Linked DNA regions of Mytilus edulis. The protein of the gene in region 2 interacts with the protein of the main gene of each other region in a pairwise test. Links are inferred from orthologs where the notes say so. Each region holds a gene or a part of one and is shown on either strand. Other genes may lie near its edges. The genes, in order: syntenin-1-like, chaperone Ric-8A-like and prenylated Rab acceptor protein 1-like.

Region 1 (7,421 bases), on a different chromosome or scaffold from region 2:
GTTGGAACCAAACTCCCAAAATCAATCCCAACCTTTCTTTTGTGGTCATAAACTTTGTGTCAAAATTTCATAGATTTCTATTAACTTAAACTAAAGTTATAGTGCGAAAACCAAGAAAATGCTTATTTGGGCCCTTTTTGGCCCCTAATTCCTAAAATGTTGGGACCAAAACTCCCAAAATCAATCCCAACCTTCCTTTTGTGGTCATAAACCTTGTGTTAAAATTTCATAGATTTCTATTCAGTTTTACTAAAGTTAGAGTGCGAAAACTAAAAGTATTCGGACGACGACGACGCCAACGTGATAGCAATATACGACGAAAAAATTTTCAAATTTTGCGGTCGTATAAAAATTGCCGAATTTTTAATAATTTTTTTTTACATTTACATGTTTGAAACACTATAATTCATTTTAAATTTTTAAATTCTTATAAATTGCAGATGGTTAACCTTGAAAGAAATAGTTGATTAGCTAATTGCAGATATTGATTAAAACTTTTCTGTAACAAAATATATTTCAATCTGTACAAAAATATGGGACTGTCAAGTTTATAACTAATCTGGTTAGGCAGAATTTATCAAAGTATTTGTCTACATTTTGCTCAGTTTTGAAATCAAGTGAGCCTGTAGAGTCTGACTAGTCTGGAAGTTTTGTTTGCCTGGACCCTAATGTCATGTATGTAATGACACAAAAGTTAACCTATTCAGGGACTGAAACACAAGGATGAATGTATTATACATTTACTCAGATTTATTTATATGAGGAGACCTACATAAATGTAGGCCTTATGATCAATAGCTCAGCTTTCCAATACATAAATTTGCTATATATATATGACTTCATTCAATGATTATGTTTAAACCCACCAGCAAAAATGCTGTTGATAAACAGTGATATCTGCCTATTAACAACAGTTACAAAGTTAACCAGATGCTCCACAGGGTGCAGCTTTATATGACTACAGAGGTCGACCCTGAACGGTTGGGCCTAGTATGGACACAACATTCAAACTGGATACAGCTCTGAATTTGGATTGTGATTAAATAGTTGACACAGCATAGGTTTCTGACACAGAATGAATGTGGTTTAATAAACTTAAAATTTGTTTTTTGCCTTTGAGCAATTCACTATGCTGTTGAATATTAATCCTCTCAAAAAAATGTTTGAAGAAATTTTCTTTTTATTTATGAAATCTGTAATGAGAAAAATTTACCCCCCCCCCTCCCCCGCAGCCCAATTTTTTTTCACATCCCCCTTTCCCTTTTTCCAAAACTGATCTCAATTCAAATTTCTAATGGAGTTTTCAACAATAACTACTCATTTAAATACATCATAAAATATTAAAATGTAAAAAAAGTGCTTGTTATCACTGAATGGTAAAGATTGTTTTAATTTATCAGTTGGTAGTACATTTTTAAAAGTGAATATACATTGTATATTGTATTGTATAAAACAATGATTTAAGTTGATTCAACTACTATTCTGGACAAAGAAAGATAACTCCAATTGAAATCCAATTGGAATTTCTTGCTATTGCACAATATTGTGCAATTAGATATTTCTTGCTATTGCACAATATTGTGCAATTGAAAAAACTTGCTATTGCACAATACTGTGCAATTGAAGATTTCTTGCTATTGCACAATACTTAATATAATAATTTTGGATCCTGATTTGGACCAACTTGAAAACAGGGCCCATAATCAAAAATCTCAGTACATGTTTAGATTCAGTATATCAAGGAACACCAAGAATTCAATTTTTGTTGAAATCAAACTTTGTTTAATTTTGGACCCTTTGGACCTTAATGTAGACCAATTTGAAAACAGGACCAAAAATTAAGAATTTACATACACAGTTAGATTCAGCATATCAAAGAACCCAAATTATTCAATTTTTGATGAAATCAAACAAAGTTTAATTTTGGACCCTTTGGGCCCCTAATCACTAAACTGTTAGGACCAAAACTCCCAAAATCAATCCCAACCTTCCTTTTATGGTCATAAACCTTGTGTTTAAATTTCATAGATTTCTATTTACTCATATACTAAAGTTATGGTGCGAAAACCAAGAAAAATGCTTATGTGGGCCCTTTTTTGGCCCTTAATTCCTAAACTGTTGGGACTAAAACACCCAAAATCAATCCTTACCTTCCTTTTATGGTCATAAACCTTGTGTTTCAATTTCATAGATTTCTATTTACTTTTACTAAAGTTAGAATGCAAAAACTAAATGTCTTCGGACGACGAGGACAACGTGATACCAATATACATGTACGACCAAAAAATTTTCAATTTTTGCGGTCGTATAAAAAAAAGCAGGGCGAGATAAAAATTTAATATGTCATGTTAGTGGCAGATTGATTTTAAAAATATTAGTCACATTTAACTTATTGAGCTTGATATGTGTTAATACTCCTTAATAGACAGTTCAGTAACATGCAAAGGACACATTTCAACAAAGATCTATGAGAAGAAAACAAAAATAAACACATAATTATTTTATAACAAAAACATATGATCCCCACGTAAATTGTTCTCAACACTCTGAAATCTTCTGTCATCTTCAACTTCTAGTATAGATGCATTTGCATCTTGACTTCATTGATTGTCTCAAGTGCAATATAGTTATCATAAAACTCAAATGCTTCTCTCAAGGTTCTCTTGCTTCAAATACAAGCAGAGAATCTTTCTTTGGTTTTATGAAATTTTTGTTGCCTTGAAATGCTTGAATGTCTTTATAAAATTCCTTTGTAAGTCAATTATTTGAATTTGAAAGTGAGGGAAATAAATTAACAAGTTTCTACTCTAATGCAGAGTAACATTACAAAAGTTCAGAGTTCATGCATTTATAACTTGTATGTCAATTGATACTTGGACATTTTACTTACAAAGAACAACTACTACACAAGTTTATAAATCAATCCAAATTATAATTTATATACCAGTCTCACTTCTACCTAATTGTATTTTTATGAAAACTATTGCAATATATCATTTGCTCAAATGTGATGCTGTATTTTGAAAAGAACAACATTCACAACGACAGGCTACATGCCTTTTGAAGAAATAATGGCTGTGAAAATTAACATGTAAATGTCATTCATGGTAGTCATGGTAGTACAAGTGTCATCACCATCCCACAACAACCAGACATTTTCTACAGAAAATTAAAAAAGAACCCCTGAAAGATAGGGGAGACAAAACAGGCCTATTTCATTTTTTAAAGACATACGTACACCGTCTAGCTGAAATATCAACAGAAAATCTTTAGCATCCACAAAGTACATGCATAGTGAAAACTATCTCAGAATTCCAGCTCAGACAAACCCTTTTATAATTCAGCTTCCTACCAAGACAATTAAAATTGGAACATCCGATGTCACTAAGATTCAAATCTCAATTTGATGAATGACCTGGAGACCCGAGTAATTCTGAGTAAACTTGTCATAGGTTATGGTTATTGTGACACGACAACAAAAAGCATTTTTTTTTCCATGTATGTCACAGTTCAAAATGATTGACCTACGGTCAACTGTGGTAATTTAACTAATTCTTTTAAAAAAAACTTTAGATCGGTTAAAAGCAAGATGTTCACAGATGTTGTAAGGGGTCCCCATTTGTGACGCAAGTAATTAAGGGTTGACACACTTTGAAGTAAAGTCTCTGATTAGACTAAATAAACAGTAGAACATGTAGAAAACAATCAATGCAATTTGAAAGGCATTTAAAAAAAACTTTCAAAATGTCTATTAAAAATTGCAAGTAAAGACTAATTTCCGATAACAAAATACAGGAGCAACTTATTTCTTTATATGTTACCAATAGCCATTGTCATTAGACAATTGATACACGCAGTGTTTCACTGTTGTCTGTTGAAACTGACAAAGTGACAGGTACCTAAAATTAGGAGTCTCATATTATTTGAATGAAAGATGGAATAGAAAACAGGACATCCTTAATCATAATTCTGTCAAGAAGTAACTGTTTGACATACAAATTTTCAATACATGATTTAATAAGTTCAACCAATTCAATTATTGTGAAAATTGACAAAGGAAGTGACTAAATTTTGAACTGGAATTTTAAAGTTTATATCGACCGGGGTGGGGACATTTTCTCTTTGTTTAATGGCTGATTTGATAGAAATTTGTTTATTATTACCCTTGACAGACAGTGTGTCTTTTTGTTCGTCCAGGTTTGGTTGAGGATCACTGTTACTGCGCTGTCGTGTGTATTTTTGTCCAGTTACACTTTCATCTGTTTTGGTGGCCATGATCGGTGATGGCCATTTTAGGGATTACTTCCGGTTTGATTGGGGGTCAACATTTTATAAAAAAAAATATCTCATTTTAAAGATAGGTTTTGGCAACTGAAACAAAAAAATATCAATCTGTTCACATAATTTTTTATTTTATATTTGATAAACAATGGTCACCGGAAGCATCGTGATGTTTACTGTTACTAAAATTAGAAGTGAAAGTCAAGGGCACATGACTAATGACGTCATCTAATCAGGAGACATTGTGAAAGGGGTAATAGTCATAATATTCACAAAAGACACATAAATACATATCTACCTTTCATTCAAGAAGAAATATTGTCAAGAGGAAAATCGAATTATTGTCGATAACAGGTACTAGATAATATTTTAATTGATTTTGTTATTAAAGTATGATCAAGCATTAAGGTTCATCATAAGGAATTGAAAAATATGGCCGTGTTTACACCTCCAAAATTACTATGAGTACAGACAAACTGGTACATCCAGGAAAGTTTTAAGGCATGGCAGGAACTAGATATATAAAAGTTATATGAAGTCTACGTTTCAGAAAATTAAAAACTTACCTGGATTTTGATGTTCATTTTTTTCCAGTCTGCAGAAGATAGCAAAATAAACAAACACCCGAGTTTCATTTGATACGGTCCACTCAGTTACACAGTTTAAACCTGTTAAAACACCTATTGTTTACAGGTGTCTATTGTCCATCTATTGTCCATTTAAATCAATACTACTCACAACATTGATTATATGAGGGGAGATTCTCAATCGTTTTCACTACTTAGTTAATTTTTGCACCTTCTGCAGGAACGAAAAAAAATGGATAGCAAAATCTAGAAAAGTTTATAATTTTCTGAAACATAAAATGCATTTAAAATTTATATATCTAGTTCCTGCCATCCCTTAAAACTTTTGCAGGTGTATAGGTTAGTCTGTACTCAGAGTAAAATTTAGGGTGTAAATACGGCCATTTTAGCCAAAAGGTTATGATGAACCTTAATTCTAATTCAGAAAAATAAATAATTGACAACAATAATAAATGTCAAATTGATTATTATGCTGATTAAGGAAACATAGGTTAAAAAAATGCAACTTGGTGTTTAAAATACTCATATAACATGCTGTCTAACAGAAAGAATTTGATCTACAGTTTCAGTACTAGAATATAAAGGTGTGTGTTTTTTAAGATCAATAATGAATAAACAACTTCCTGAAAGTCATGACAATGTATATCCTATTTCCTCACCTTTATTACAGTTTGGAAATCTGTAATTCAAGTGTTTGGTTTGATTTTGAAAATTCGTTTGTGCCAATAAAATATTGTCTATTGTCTATTGTCTATGAAAATCTCACATTCACCAAATGTACAGTTTTAATGAAAAGATAGTTATCTATATATGCAGTTGTCTTCACTGCAAAAAACAATGAAATCTAGAATACTTATCAATTTACGTTTGTAAATACATTAATAATACTGTATACATGCATCTGATGTGTGATTTGCAAATTCAAATGGGGATAAATTTACAACATGTAGCAGCAATATTCATATTTAGATTTACATACAACATTCTGTTGATGGAAAAAAGTAAAAATCAAAAATGTTTTCCAAATATTTTTTTCAAAAGTGGAAGTATTATGAAAGATAAATAGAACCTTAAGCTTACTGACAGACCCATCTGTAGTACCATACCCCTCATCTAATAGGCTATTAGATGACAATACATTTGAAATCCACAGCTCAAAGATTAATTTTTTGATTAATTGCTGCTTTATGTTGTGCATGTTCCATATGTTCTGAAAGGTCTAATACGCTGATGTAGCAAAATGTCATATTTACGAAATTTATACATGTAAATGTACATTTGTATGTTTTAATAAATTAAATCATTTGAATTATACATTTTTTCTTTTCAGATCTACTTAAGTAAAACAAGATGTCTCGTTTATACCCAACATTAGAAGATATGAAGGTTGACCAGATGCAACAGGTAGGGTTTAAATGTCATTGATTTAGAAAAGTCCTGGCAAGGCCCTGTTTTAGTTGTTAATTACATGTATTTTGTCAGTTATTTTGTGATTATTTAAAATTGTTAGGTATATTTGTTTACAGCTTCAGTTATATTAAATTTATGATGCACATTCTTTACCTGATAATATTATATCCTTTTAGTGTACTTCATTTAAAAGTGCTGTGTTCCATTTTATGTGTAAAATGTACTTTGTTTATAAATTCTAAATTGACAAGAACAACCAAAATGTATCTCTTATATTTTAGGCTCAGCATCAGTATGAGTCATCAGCTGCAAGTCAACCAATCACATACCCTCAACAAGGGGCACCTGCTACCTACCCACAACAAGGAACAGCAGCTCCCTACCCACAACAGAGTGGATCATCTCTGTATCCCTCACTAGGAGAGTACATGGGATTAAATCTCACTCCAGAGTTTCTTGAACAAAACATGCCAGTAGTAGCACATGTAAGTTTTAAATCCTGCAAACTGAAAAGTTTTTTTTCCTAATCTGCATTTTAATTTAAATATTGTTAAGTAAACATTTATTAAGGCTTAGAGCATACCGAAGTATCTTTCAATTTTCTCTCTCACTTTCAAGAATAGATTATCAATTTTTTTCACTAATAAATCATTGAAGACTGAAACATCTATAATCAATACGAAATTCACTGAAAGAAAAAGAATATAGGAAAAATATCTGGAGTCAATGTTTAAGTTCTAATTTGATTGGAAACACTAATAGTCTATTGTATATAAGTATTTATTAAATGTTTCAGAATATGCAGATAGCTACTACACCAAGTCCTAGTCAGTCTATGATTGCACCAATAACTGGACAAGGAAACAAAGGTTTAGTAAGAGCTGAAATCAAAGGAGGTGTTAGGGAACTAGTAGCATGTAAGGATGGTGATGGCAAAATAGGTCTTAGATTACGTCATATCAACAGTGTAAGTCATTTATCTACAAAATAGGTCTTAGATTACTTCATATCAACAGTGTAAGTCATTTATCTACAAAATAGGTCTTAGATTACGTCATATCAACAGTGTAAGTCATTTATCTACAAATTCATTCAAAATAATTTTTAAAAAATCACAAAAGGAATTTAAAAATGTATAAAATG
Region 2 (7,478 bases):
ATGTTTACAAAATTTCAGGGTTTTGGGCTATCAAACTGTCAGATTAAGAAAAATTAATATGTACCTGTTTGGCTTCTAATTTCAGATCTGGAAAACTGAAGGTCTGTGCATGCTGAAAGTATCAAAGATATGATTCACAATTAAGCAGTCAGAGCTCAGACATAAATAAGTCTAAATCTGCTTTTGACTCACAGAGGTCTAAACTTGAAGGTTTTAAAATTTGTCTCCCTTTAATTTAAGACAAATTATGACGTCGAATAGTGTTTAGCAAAAAATATTTGACCTGAATTAAAAAGTTGCAAATATTGACTCCTACAAGTCAATAAGTTACCAAAATTGATAATTTTCAAAATCCAAGCATATTTAAAAAAAAGTTCAAGCATCTACATGAAATTTTGACAACATTGGAAGACAATGCTTTGTCTTCTAAATAAAAATATGCATGCGAGGCTAAAAAAATGGAATTGATGTTTATTTACTTATCAACATGATCAATGCAACCATCTTTAATCACACAAAATAAGGAAAATAATTTATGCTAAGTAAAAATGTTCAATAAGATAATTACATATAGATATATTAAAACATATATATAAAAAGAATTCAGACATCAACATTAATCAGCAGTAATTAGCATTTTCTTTCAATTGACTGTGATCCTAACAAGTCTTTTGTCTTGTGTAATAACAAATAGTTACACACACAACGGTACAAGCCGATCCCCAAGCTGATACATACAAACTTAAAATATGTCATGGTGTGTTATTTGGCTTAAATTTGTGTTAGTGTTATTTTGGATAAAAAATATGTTTTATTTTAAGAAAGAAAATTTTATGTTTGTATTTAGTAAAATATTAATTAATTTGTTTAATTGATTTTACCTATGCTGTGGCATTAATACTCGAAATGTAACAGTTTGCTCAAAGCACTTTATTTTGAAATATAAATTGCAATTAACATATGTCACTTTGAAAGTTTAGATTTTTATCAAAACATTACAGGATTATCCTTTGTCAATTAAAGTATATTTTTGCTAATGAGAGTATTATGAATGTGTCAAGACATATTTATTTATTTTAGATTTTGGTATAAATATTGTTGTGAAATTTTGGAAAGGCAGTCAGTGTTTCGGAAGCGTAACCTCACACTACTAACGTCATTATACTGGACCTATAAGACTGTCTACCAGTTGGCGGTGTAGTGTTAAGACAAAATTTATCTCTGACTTATAAATTTAACTTTAGAAAATACTTTTGAGAAACTTTTATTTTGAGACTTTTATATTTTGAAATTGAGATTAAGTACATTTTATGTTTTAGTAGTTTTGGCATTTATTTTTATATTTTACATTTTAAGGAGAAATAACTTTACTTTGGATTTGATATTTAGATTTGATACTTTGTACTTTGATTAGATTATTATTATTATTATTTGGAATTGTTTACAAATTGATTTGTTATCATCATTCGACTAAGTTTTTATAGTAATCATGGTAATTAAATTATGAAAACCTTCCTTGCGTTTTAGCTATGCCTATCAGAACATTAAGTCTAGCCATAGACTGACCCCCTGTTCCTTCGTTCCATCACATACGAGTAAGCTCCCCCTTATCTAACAGTGCTCTCGAGTGGACCTTGGTGACAGATATATTGACTATATTCAATATTACAAAAAAAAAGTGTTATATAGAAGCCTCTGATGTTACCTGAAATAAAATTACAATTAATTATTATTATATACACCAAACAAAAGATCAAATTATAAAGACATACCTGTCAACTGACCCGTATTCTGCGGGTGTGACCTGAGATTTTCACAATTCTGAGGGATCACCCGGGTCACCCGCCGGGTTATTGAATAACCTGGGAATTCCGAAAATGACCCGTTTTCACCCGTATTTCTTAGCCATGAGATTGATTTCTTAGGTAATAAACCTTTGAAATACCAGCAAATTCGTCCATGAACAGGAAGTTCATCTAGCTGTGTAAACTGTCAAATTAAGTGACCCATTAAGTGCTTGGCTTTACTTGACAGCTTTGGTGTCAAACACAGTGTTAATTAACACCAATTACCTTAGCTTTAGGTCGTAAATAAATTGCACTGTTGTTTTACAAACATATTTCAACTATAATAATATATCAACTGAAATTCAGCTGGAAAAAGTTTGTACGCATTATGACCTGAGATTTGATTCTTCAATGCAGGTCATGACCTACATTTTCATCGTCACAGGTTGACAGGTATGTAAAGACCTTGTTGATTACGCAACTTTAATTAATCGATCGGGATTTGATTGAATTAAGTGATTATTACGAGTGGCATTACCTTAGTTCACAATCATTAGACAATTGTTGAATAAACAAACCAATTGTAGACTAATGATTTCGTTTATATATACTGTTCAAATTTGTCAAAAATTCCTCCATATAGTGAATATAGTTTTTTCATATTTTATTATGGGGCCGGATCGACTTGGGTCCGGATCGACTTGGACCGGATCGACTTTGGGCCATATTGACTTGGGGCCGGATCGGTTTGGGGCCGAAAAGACCGGATACCAGTGATCTATAGATGTTAATTTTTGTGTCTTTTGGTCTCTTGATGAGAGTTGTCTCATTGGCAATCACACCCCATCTTCTTTTTTATAATATATTTCATTTTAAGATTATTCTAGAAAAAAAGATGAATTTCTAAAGAGAAAACTGGTACTTGACCAATAAAAGGTCTTTGATACGGAATACTGTTCCAAATAATAATAATAACTTATATGTTTTGAATTGACTTATTTCCATTCTTACAAATGTATATATAGTCCATACCTTTGTTGTTAGTTCAAGTAGCACACTGCATGCTTCTTTGTCAGATCCACTGTTTAAAATACGCAAGCACCTGTCGTCAATATTCATTTTGATAACAGAATATTGCTAAATAATATGTTTGTTTATGATATTCAGTGACATCTTCAGCTTCATCATTTTATGCGATTTCAAATAGTGTTCTGCAGTTATAAATAAGTGCGTGCATATACAGCTTTTATGTCTTACGGAATCAACATGTAATACAATACAATACAATATTTTTGTTTTCCATATTAATTAAAGGGCCAATTAAGAGCATAACATTAATTACAACATGACATAAACATTACAGAGTGATTAAAGAAACGTAAAATAATAATTCAAATGCTTGAGGAAAGGATCTTCTTCTTCTTCTTCTCTATGTAAATTCCTCCGCAACGGAGCACCCGTGTCACACGGTAACAGAAAAAAACCCTTATTTTTATTTATTACTGTTTAAAAATATGGAGCAAACCAGATTAGAATATATACAATCCTTAAAAGATTATCGTTGTCCTAAAACCGTTTTTTAATGTAAAAACTAACATAAAAATATTTACACCTACTATTTTATGTACATTAAGCATATAATAATGTTAGTCAAAATATCTTAAAACGTACAGATTAAAAAGGAGTGAAATAGATTTACTGGTAAAAGGTAAAAGGACATAGTTTATTCATTTATTTCTTGACAGAAAAATAAAAGGATTATAAAAATATAGATTGGTATTTAATGATCTGGGATTTATCATTACTATGTACACGACTAAAATTAAAATTAACTGTTATGTTACTGTACAGAACATGCAGAATTTATATCAGTTTATTTCCATTTAACCAGTTGTTCTACAGTTAAAATAGAGGTTGATAATATAGAATCATAATACTTTTATAAAATCTAAAATATTTGATCTGAGATATTACCAATTTAGGCCTTTTAAAAAAAACTAAAATATTGTATATTCCTTTTTGTGTTACATTGCCCAATTAAGTTTACTCTTAAGCTTCCTTTTAAGATATATGTCTGATAATTAACTAACTCAATTTTTATTTTTGGGGGTAAAAATTAATTAATAGTTATCTAGACATTGCACCCGGGGTCTTTTGCCTCAGACTGCTTTGATACTGCCATCCTTTTGTGTAATAATGTTCTGCCACAATGGAGGTCATAGCACAGTTTTCTGCTTATTCTTTCTATCTCTGTTGTAATTTCTTCGTCGAGAATTTGAATATTTTCCCGTACTTTGGTTGAGTCAATAATTATTTGCATTAATAGTTCTTTGTTTCCATTGAAGTGCAAAGGTCAAAGGTCAAAGGTCAATTAAGGGGAGATAATTTTGATTTTCTAAGTTGCAGGCCTTTATCAATGCTCGATAACGAAATGTATCATTTATCAACTTTGTTTAATCTACAGGGGCGGATCCAACCATCTCAAAAAGGGGGGTCCCAACGCCGAGTAAAGGGGGATTCCAACTATATGCTCCCATTCAAATGCATTGATCGTCCAAAAAAAGGGGGTTCCAACCCCCGGAACCACACCCCCCCCCCCTGGATCCGCCAATGATCTACATATGCGTCGCTTAACAGGTATGTATTTCTTAATAGCCTAATAGTCAACGATGTGTAATTACGAAATATTAGAATTTTCATGAAAACAATAAAGAGGTACAACAGTGAATTAAGGGGGCTCGCGGGTATAAATTTTTTTTTTCTAATATAAGATTTTGCCATGCAGATAGGAAAAGGAAGGAAAATAAAATAAATAACTTTATTTATACAGTGCATGCCATTTTCTTAAGTTTATGGTCCACCAGTAATGCTTCTGTCACAACAAAAGACGATTCCTCCTGCCAGTGCTTTCTTAATGTTTTTCCGCAAGTATACATTCACCAAGTTATTGCTGTAATGCCAGAATCGAACTCATTTGTAAATTCAAAAGAAAATAAACCCAGAAACCCCTAACGCCAGGGCATAGTCGAAATATGTATAGCGCAACTGCATGTTAATAAATCATATATATATAATTAACGGCGTACATGTTCCTCATGCATGACAAAACTTGAAATAACACAAAAAAGTAAAATCACAAATACTGAACTCAAATCATCAATTGTGCAAAAAGATGTACTACTGCGGTAAACATGCTGGATGTCAGGAGATTTAGAATAATAACCAAATTTCATATCAATATGATATTACACCATGCCAGCACGATCTTCTCACCGACAATTATATAACTGTATAAGAATAAGCTTAAAATCTAAAAGGATATTTTATACACAATAAGTATCATTATTTTGAAAATGTCCTTAATGATATTCATTCAAAACATCGACTCAGTACGCAGATCTGAGTGCAAGTGTATCATTTTTTTCATTGTTTAAATTTACTGTGTGTATAATAAATGAATACATGTTGTCAAAGTGCATCTCTTAGACAATCAATAGGTAGTCATTTGAGGCAACCGATACTATTGTCTAATTATTAGAGGAATTGCGAAAAGACTCTAAATCAGAAGGTTAAATGAAAGAACCAGTGGATCGTTAAAATGCACTTTTCATCCATTGGCTCATTATATCTTTTTACCTAACCATTACTAATCTATTTAGTCTCCTTAACATAACTTCAAACATAAAGTTTTAAGGAGGCTCGCGGGTACAAAAATTTCTATTTATTACACTATTAGTTATTACTTTATGATATGGTACAAAAATCAATAAAAAAAAACCATTCGGTTTGGCCCCAGATGACTGTTATCAAAATGTATTTATATCATTGAAAAAGCTCCAAATTATCTCCCTTTGGTGCAAAAATGCCATTTTTTTGGCATTAAAATTGAAATATTTTTTTTAACTCATCGGTTACATATATTTTTTATTATTGTTTTCAAAAAAGCTGTTCATAAACTAAATAATTGTAAAATTTTAACGATTTCTGTAATTTAGTTCTTTTTTTTTTATTTCGATACTACCTTTTTTTCTCCTATTAGTTCTGAGACTACTATAACACGTGGTCTCAGATTAGTTCAACCAGAGACATATATGTGTATATATGTCTCTGGTTCAACAGAAAAAAAGTACATTAACAAACATTTAATATGCTTCTTTCGGTGGCAGATTGTCAACTTAAATGAACGGTGACCCCATTTTTTTATTTCATTTTTCTATTAAGTATATGATAAAGTTCATTTATAAAAAAAAATATAGGGTAGCACTTTTTTATTTTTTATATGGTTCTTTTTTTATTATTATTCTAGGCGTTAGTATTTAGGATTTGATTGATTCTTCACACTTATGCTGCTGTCCTAACCTCGAAATATGCATATTTGCAATTTTAAACAAAATATATTATAAGCTTAATTTCTGAGATGTTTTGACGTTCATTTTATTCAAAATTTAACTTTTTAAAAATAACATTTGACACTATCTTTTTACTACCCTTATAACATGAAGCCATGAATATTCTCAGTCAATACTTTATGCCTTAAAATTGAATGTTTTGTTTCTCTCTGTCTAACAGTGTATAAAAGAGAAGATGTGGTATGATTGCCAATGAGACAACTGTCCACAAGAGACCAAAATGACACAGACTTTAACAACTATAGGTCACCGTACGGCCTTCAACAATGAGCAAAGTCCATACCACATAGTCAGCTATAAAAGACCCCGATAAGACAATGTAAAACAATTCAAACGAGAATTACTTAAATAATGTGGCGGGTTAAACATGTTAGCCGGATCCCAACCCTCCCCCTAACCTGGGACAGTGGTATAACAGTATATAGTTAATATGCTACACGTTTATTGACAATCTTTGCCTGGTCTTATCATATTTAGTTTTTTCTCCATGTTTGCTTTTGTAGATTCTAGGACTGGCGAATTTGAAAATGAATCTTAACTTTTGAAATATTTTGTAATACTCAGAGATGTATAAATTAATGCAATATCTAGTTCACTTTTTGTTTGGCAGAATCAAAACATCAACTTGTGTTTAAGCTCTCCGGTTCAAAATATATAGTGGATTCGAAGCTCTTCGGCCTAGAGTAACTTCAGTGTTTTATATTTGGATTCAAGTTGTACAAGGGACAGTTTCAGTGATCAATTATCAATAACAGTTGTTTCTTTCTTTCTTCTTCATGAATTCATGAATATCAGGACGATCTTCTTTCCAAATCCCTTCGCTGCAATCATATCTTATATTAATATTTCATATTTTTGAATAAGATAAGAACTAGCGGTAATGATATCAATTATTTTAAGGAAAGATTAGAACATTTAATTTTGAATCAAAATGTGTGTTGAAATTGAGTCTAAAACTGTTTGCCATATATAAGGTAACTTGTTATGGTTTAATTTCGGTGATTTGAAAATGAGAATATCGATATATTTTTTTTTTCAAAATATGCTGATATTCAAACATTCGACTGCTTACGGATTCATTTTGTTTTATATCATATTTATGAACAACCTTCGATTTTATATGCGTTCAATTGTTCTTAATTCATTCGCCTTAGCTGAAAAAAAACCCAATCATTTACGTATGTTGATATCACAAAAGCAACCGTATATCGATCATAATAAGCAACACTACACTCACTATAAGGGAAAACGATCACTGCGGATCCAGCATCTAGAAAAAGGG
Region 3 (7,738 bases), on a different chromosome or scaffold from region 2:
AGCAATCTACATTATAAAGGGCCCTAAAAATTATTACTACAGTAGTGTAAAACCATTCAAACATGAAAACAAAGGGGCTTATCTATATAAAAAATGCAAAACGAGTATACAAAAGGAGAATTTTTAGACATCTTTCTTACAAACTGAAATGAAATATTAATATTCAATTTATAAGTAGTTTAGACTTTTGTTCGCTAGTATTCATCAGGATCTGCATAAATATCTTGATGAATTGAATTGATTGTCTGCTGATACAGAACACCACTTTCAAAACTCTAAACTATGATCAGATGATAGCAGCAACTTAGCATTTACTTGAGGAAAACCGCACAACTTGCAGACCATGATCTTGCAAAGGAAACCATACAATGGTAATCAATTAAGATTGGAACTAATATGGACCGTACAACACAGACAATGAACAAATGTGAAACAGACATGAATGGAAGGTTAACTGGTAAACAGATATGTCACGAAGGTAAAACGGATAAATGACAATTGAAAATATGTTCATTAATTTTTTTTTGCATTTGTGCAATACAATATGCTGTTAAGATTAGACCCTCCCCCCAAAAAATAATAATACTGGGAGTAACTTTTGAAAATAATTTGACAGCTAATCACCTCCACACAAAACGAACATTTCTTTATAACTAATTTAAAAGCAGAGTAAGGGAGGTAATTCAAACTTAACATTGTACTTAAAAGTAATTGTCCATTAACCAGGAAACCCAAGTGTTTTTCCTCCTTTTTTGGCCCCTCATTCCTACATGGTTTGAGCCATAACCCCCAAAATCAATCCCAACCATCCTTTTGCGATAATAAACCTTGAGTTCAAATTTCATAGATTCTATTTACACATGTATACATACATGTACTTATACATGTCATACTAAAATTATTGTCTGGAAACCAAATGTCTTGGCATGGGAGGACGCTAACGACAACATGATACCAATATAAAACCGCAAAATTCATTGCGGTTGTATGCTAAAAGAATCAGATAAATTGATCCATTTGTTTGGTAGGTGTGACCTTCAACTTTGTCCATCTGATCCCACTTTTGCAAAAGCAAATATAATGATAAAGGGATGGCTCATACTAGCTTATATACCATGTCTATCAGACACGCTCTCGTCATTGCTAATGACAACAGTGCCAAAACTATTTTACAGGCCAGATTCTATCAATTTTTTGCATGTACATGTACAAATGTATATTCAAATTTCGAAAAGTATGTGGATGAAGTCATGCCCTTCTCAAGCACAGCATAAGACTGGAAGCTATTTGCTGAAAGATTTATGTATCATTATTGCCACCAATAATTTTCTGCTTATCTCATTCTTAAATTTTATGCTGAACGCTTCCGTTAGGTGTCCATTTTATCCTGTACATATCCGTTAGGTGTCCATTTTATGTGGTACTTGTCCATTGAATGTACATTCCACATCCGTGTACGTTAGGCATTTGTTATCCGCTTGTTTAATTTGGTCAATACACCTATGCACTTCCAAAGGATACAAATTTGTCAACAGATTTTTTTTACATCCATTTGGCGTCCGTTCAAGCTATCCTGTAAGATTGGACCACAGCTTTTTAATTCATATAGTCTTCTGACTGGTAATTGATGTTTATATGGAGTGGGTAATTCAAAATCTTTTACTATGGAAAATTGGTAGAATGTTGGGGCAAGCCGGTAGGTCTTTTCACCACCGAACACCACCGCACACCGCCGAACACCCCAAAAGTTTATTATTTTGTCTTTTATCGTTATCAATGTGAATTAAATATGATATTCAAGTTATTAATTCAACAAATAAGAAGATTTAAAGTCCAAATATCTACAGAAAACAGAAAGGAAGAGTCTTATAACACCCCACTTTTTGAACTCCGCTGACCCTCATGGACACCTCATTTTTCCCATTTTTTCTTCTTCTAACTCTTCTATAAAATAGTTGTTCCAATAATAATAAAAGAGAAAAATATAAAAATCTAACCAATGAATAGAGATCCAGGATACTTGAACTGATTACTGATTATGAATATATTTGAATTTTATAACACACACAATGTAATCCGGAAAGTGATGAATCCGGAGACGTTTTTTCTTGTAATGATTTACGATTTTAACATCAAAATGATGCCCATAAAAATCGAAAAATTGATTAAATAATATGTAATTTAATTTATTTTATCGTTTTATTGTATGATATCAACGTTTTTCTTAGTGGTTGGTGGTTTTTCAGGTATTCGGCGGTGTTCGGTGGTGTACGGTGGTGTTCGGTGGTGAAAAGACCCACTCTGGGCAAGCTGGTAGTCCAAATAATTATGACGTCTTGAAAGGCTATTATAATTTTTTTCTTTGACGCCTTACTTCGACGACGTCGACGTCGAAGTAAGGCGTCAAAGAAAAAAATTATCATAGCCTTTCAAGACGTCATAATTATTTGGACTAGGCAAGCTGGTCACTCACCATCAGGAGTTTTTGGCAAAAGGATGAGTTGACTGTCAAGAATTCTCAAATATATAGGAAATATAATTTTTAGGTGATGAATATTATTTGGCAATATTATATTTCAATGAAATTGAGAATAGAAATAGGAAATGTGTCGAAGACTAAATTTTGAAAGAGAAAGACAGAAAAATACAACTGAGTCTGAATGTTAAAATTCTGCTCGACCTTTGCAATTATTCAAACTGATTCTTACCCTTTTCCTGTTGAAGAGCTTTGTTTATCTGGAATATCAATGTCTCCTGCTATGTTCCCAAAATCTAACTTTGTATCTGTCATTTCTTGTCAAAACAACACAACAAGCTTTTTGGTATTCAGATGTTGCAGTGATGTGTCAAAATATTTTTGTTGTTCTTTGTGCTATTTGTTTTTGAAAAGGACCTTCTGAATTTAGGATGTTTTTGAATAAATAATAAGGAAAGCAAAGAGAAGATTAATTATGAACAGAAATTACAAAATGCAATTAATAAAATAGTGTTTTTTTCTTACTTAAAACTGTAAAATAGAACATGTACATAAAGCTACAAAAAAAAGTCACGACTTCCATGACGTAGTTCACACTTCCGGTTCAAAATATAGGCTTCTACTTTTTTTTTTTTATCAATGATTCATTCAAATACCAAATAGCTAATAATAGAATGAAAGTCAACTAAGCGGTTTGTCCTGGTCTTTTCACCTAATTCATTTTGACACCGAATATTACATCTAGGTAATGTATCAAAAGTGCATATGATCAATGATGATGTTAATTATATCTTTCCAAACTACATTGTAAGAACACTGTCACTGCCACTGGCACTGTAGTAAAAAAAAAAATTAAAGATTGTGAGTGGGTGTCGATGAGAACGGACGTGAAATTTTTGCAGAGAGAATCCATCAACATCATCCAAATTAGTCTTCTAAATTGCTTTCTTGGATGCATTTTATCATCCATAGATTATATACTTTCAATTTCGGTCATTATTTTCTTGTTGAGGAAAACCTCTGCAGATATTTTTAGGTATGTTTGAGACACGTGCTCTGCCCATATGGGAACCATTAGTAGTTTCCATTGGAAACTATCAGACCTATCATTTGAAGTCTGAGAGTTCTTGCTGTTCTCCTAATGGTTCGGTAGTTTCTTTCCGAGATCCTATTCAGTAGGATTTTCGGCTTTCCTCTACCTTGATACAGCAGGGCATTTGGTAGTGTCGGTTTTGATAGATTTTGTCCTAACCGATTCCTCGTTATTACCTTAGACGTATTTTGCCAAGGCATTTGTGGGGCATCCGGGGTGACCCTCTCCCATTCAAAACACACAGATATTAAAAAAGGATATTTGATACATAGAAAAAATACACTTTTTATACTTTGAGGACTGAGCGAATCAGGTGAGTGTGTGAGTTCGTATGTTTTATTTGATTGCATTGTATTTATGTTTTGGGAAGGTTAACTTTCTGGTAATAAGACCCGTCACGGCCTGGCTGGGGAATTGGGTAGGCAAATGCTCACATTAATCTGTACCGATACAGGCTCCAAATGTCCTCCTTTATACGCCATAACTATGGTGGTGCTCCTATTTAAAGGAGGCTCATACGGAGACAAGAAGAAGAAGAAGTCTGACCAAGGCCTCCTTGTGCAAATTTTGACATTTTCATTTATTTTATAGCTGCATATCTTATAAGAGTTTAAAAATGTCCTTTAACGTCAGACTTATTATTTTTTTGGCTACCTTCAGCATGATAAATGTCATTTTGGATTTTTAGAGTGGGTCTCATTCAGTCATTGGGGACGTATAAGCATGATGCGGGATTGACCATTTTTTGTAAGCGTGACACATGAAAGTCAAATTATTTGTGTCGGGAAAACAGGAAATGAGGTCTTGCGGGACCCGGGAAATGACAAAAAAATTCAGTGATCTGGAAGGTTTTTTTCACTATGGGCCCATGGCCCCTCAAAAATAAATTCAATGGGCCATTTTAAAAAATAATGGGCCATATTGTCAAATGAGAGGGCCATTTGAATTGACTTCGGTAAAAAAAATAAAAAGTATCATTATTTTTTGGCAAAGAGGTGTTGGTACTTACCTTTACGATTTTAAATAATATCATGGATAATAATTGTTCCTGTGATTCTGTAATTTCAATGAATATACAATAAGTTCTTCCAAAGCAGACAATATTAAAGATAACCTTTATTTACAATGTTTAAACTGGTACTGTTGCCTTGGCTTGTTCATGTTCATGTTGGATTTTTTAACAATAAATTTGGGTCTTCGTCGATACCATACTTATTCCAGACGCACTTCCTCTGCACTTCATGTATTATTATTATTACTTTATCATGATGACAGTAGAGAGTACCACTAATTGATAGAACAAAACAATAATTCACTGGTCATGTGTACAAAATGTCAAAACTGGTCAAAGACCAAAAAATGACCAGGAGTTGTAGTTAAGCGCCTTTTATGGAGACAAAAACTATATTCATAAAAAGGCTTCGGGGGTTTTCAATCGAATATAGCAAGGGAAACTAAATTAAAGATTATTATTAGAGTTACATCTCGTCTGTAATAGCCAAATTTCACAAATTTAAAGTTGTTTATAAAAAATTATATCATGAATGATGGTTAATTACGTTTTTTGGGTTATCAGTTAAACCGCATGATTCTATTATTACCATAGGAAAACACCCGAGACGTTAAACCGCATGGTTCTATTACCATAGGAAAACAATGAGACGTCCCAAAAATATATACAGGTGCTCCTATGATTGGAGCAACATTATACAGTTGTGTACACACACATGGCGGCACGGAACACGATCAGAAATCCATTTGACGATATCTAAACATTTCGAAACGATGTGAAAAATATCGTGCGCCACGTGGGCGCTTACATTTGTCACTCTATGCGCCATTTCTGGTCAATATGCGCTATAGGCGCAGGGCGCACGACCTTCCCGATCACTGATTAAAAATGAGAATTGCTTACGTACATACATGTAGTGAAGCGAGATATGGGAATCTGACAAAACAGTAAGCGGAATCCGGGATCTGAACCCCCCAATGAGACCCCCTTTAGAAACAGTGAGCTTTTGCCATCACTTTGTGTCCATCGTTGTCTGTCATCATCTGTCTGATGAGAACTTTTTCAAAAATCTCCTCTGAAAGCACTGAACCAATTCCTACCAAACTTAAGCTGAATTATCCGTAGGGTAACTAGACTGAAGTTTTTGTCTTATTTTTTGTTTTGTCAAAAAACATGGCTGCCATGTCTAAAATAGAACATAGAGGGAAAATGCATTTTTTTACTTAAATCTCAAAATCAAAGCATCTAGAGAAAATAATGACATGGGGTTAAAGTGTTGCTTAGGTGAAGTTTAAATCAGCTCTGAAATTTCATAAATCCATTGTTGGGTTGCTGCTGCTAAATTGGTAATTTTAAGAAAATTTTGCAGTTTTTGGTTATTATCTTGATTATTATTAAAATGATATAGATAAACTGTTAACAGCAAAAATGTTATTTTTTCTTATTTGAAAGCATATTAATTATTAGACCTTTCTTCTGATAATTTATTTTGATTAAATTTATAACCTAAAAGTTAGCCTTAGAGCAATGTTATGAAACTCATACAACATGCTTATTACCACAAATACAGATGAAGATGTGTCACTTTTACTGTTCTAGAGTAATGCTCCATTACCAATGAAAAAATTATACACATAATGACATTCCCCATTTATTTTAATTTAGCTTCAACAAAATCTATACTTGTGGTTGTTATAGCATAGTGTTTCCCAGACTACATTTCAGTTTAAAAGATACAGTTTGTAGAATAAAGTTATTAACTATAAAACTTCTTCTTCATTTTAATTTTTTTTTTGGCAGAATGACTGCCTCTACAGGAATAACAATGGTTGAGGCAATTCATCAAAAATATGATGATGATGTGGAAACATGTATACATATACACATACCAGCTTCAGCTCCAGGGAAAACAGGTAAACATTATTGTCATGATGGTATGCATGTACAATATACATATATACACATACTAGCTTCAGCGCCTGGGAAAACAGGTACATGTACATGTCATGATGAGTATACATGTAAGCACATGCACCAGTGGATAACTGAACAAAATATCTGATTTTATACTAGTGTAATACTCAAAGACTGTGTCTGCCTAACATACTTTCTTGAATTGAGATTTGCTGTCAATTGCAAAGTTTAAGTAGTCTGTTCTGTTTGCAGTTAGTATTATTGTAGTAAAAAGTATAAATATGTCAGTTAGTCTTTCTTCCCATAATACGTAGTAACATTTTAAATAAATTTGTTTCTCTTTAGAAGATGAGAACTTAGTAAGTTTTATCTTTTCTCTCTGTAGTGTAGTTATACTTAAGCTTCAAACAATAGAGATTTGAAAAAAAGTCTGCAGTGAATTGTTTCTTCTTCTCAAAAACAGCAAATGCATTTCAGCCAATGTGACTATCATGACTATGAAGTATAGATGTTCATTTTGTATTTACATTTTTGTAGTCACTCTATTAGTCTATTTAGGGATCCTAATTAATATATAATACACATGTATAAAAATAAGGAGATATTGTATAAATGCCAATGAGGGAAAAAAAATGTATCAGGGCCTTAAATGCAGACCGACATGAAGAGGATAGGTGTGGTGAAGGTGAGCCAATGAGACAATATTGGCCATCAAAAAATAGAATAACATTTAAGTTGGATGCTTTAATGAATAAGGATGCATAACCTGTTGGTGACCTTCTGCTGTTGTTTTTTCTATGGTCGGGTTGTTGTCTCTTTGACACATTTCCAATTTCAATTCTCAATTTTATTCAATTATGGCAATTATATAAAAGTAAGAAGATGTGATATAAATGCCAATGAGAATGTATCTATCCACCAAAGTTTAAATGAATTTGATGTAAACAATAATAGGCAAAACAATAAACTAAAAACTGCTACCCCTGAATTACAGTTTCTTGACTAAAACAAGGCACATATAGAATGGGGCAGGGTTAAATATGTTTGAAAACACCAACCCACCCCCTAACCTTGGATAGTGGTGGAACATATAAGAAGAACAACATATATCATTAATGACTTTAAAGTTGAAGTCAAATTGTATGATTAAAGACCTTACTACCTTTTCCTAGAGGACATAAGTGAGCTTGTCGCATATGGGGATCTTTATTTAATTGACATTTTTTATTGTATTTTATTAAAA

Evidence for each region.
Region 1: the proteins of chaperone Ric-8A-like (region 2) and syntenin-1-like interact in binary tests that used the Homo sapiens proteins (3 or more experiments, as listed by UniProt). The link is inferred for Mytilus edulis from reciprocal best matches to the Homo sapiens genes RIC8A and SDCBP.
Region 3: the proteins of chaperone Ric-8A-like (region 2) and prenylated Rab acceptor protein 1-like interact in binary tests that used the Homo sapiens proteins (3 or more experiments, as listed by UniProt). The link is inferred for Mytilus edulis from reciprocal best matches to the Homo sapiens genes RIC8A and RABAC1.

The regions. Positions count from the first base shown.
Region 1 is NC_092344.1:80,941,846-80,949,266, forward strand, and holds the start of syntenin-1-like, read left to right. Parts: upstream 1-4,400; 5' UTR 4,401-4,671; intron 4,672-5,264; 5' UTR 5,265-6,218; coding exon 6,219-6,272; intron 6,273-6,559; coding exon 6,560-6,763; intron 6,764-7,074; coding exon 7,075-7,245; intron 7,246-7,421. Other genes in the region: phosphatase and actin regulator 1-like, read right to left, coding at 4,164-4,275. UniProt on the Homo sapiens protein: Multifunctional adapter protein involved in diverse array of functions including trafficking of transmembrane proteins, neuro and immunomodulation, exosome biogenesis, and tumorigenesis.
Region 2 is NC_092350.1:6,076,602-6,084,079, reverse strand, and holds the start of chaperone Ric-8A-like, read right to left. Parts: upstream 3,022-7,478; 5' UTR 2,907-3,021; coding exon 2,820-2,906; intron 113-2,819; coding exon 65-112; intron 1-64.
Region 3 is NC_092348.1:82,591,669-82,599,406, reverse strand, and holds the start of prenylated Rab acceptor protein 1-like, read right to left. Parts: upstream 3,083-7,738; 5' UTR 2,792-3,082; coding exon 2,709-2,791; intron 1-2,708. Other genes in the region: tubulin-specific chaperone cofactor E-like protein, read left to right, coding at 6,383-6,494. UniProt on the Homo sapiens protein: General Rab protein regulator required for vesicle formation from the Golgi complex. May control vesicle docking and fusion by mediating the action of Rab GTPases to the SNARE complexes.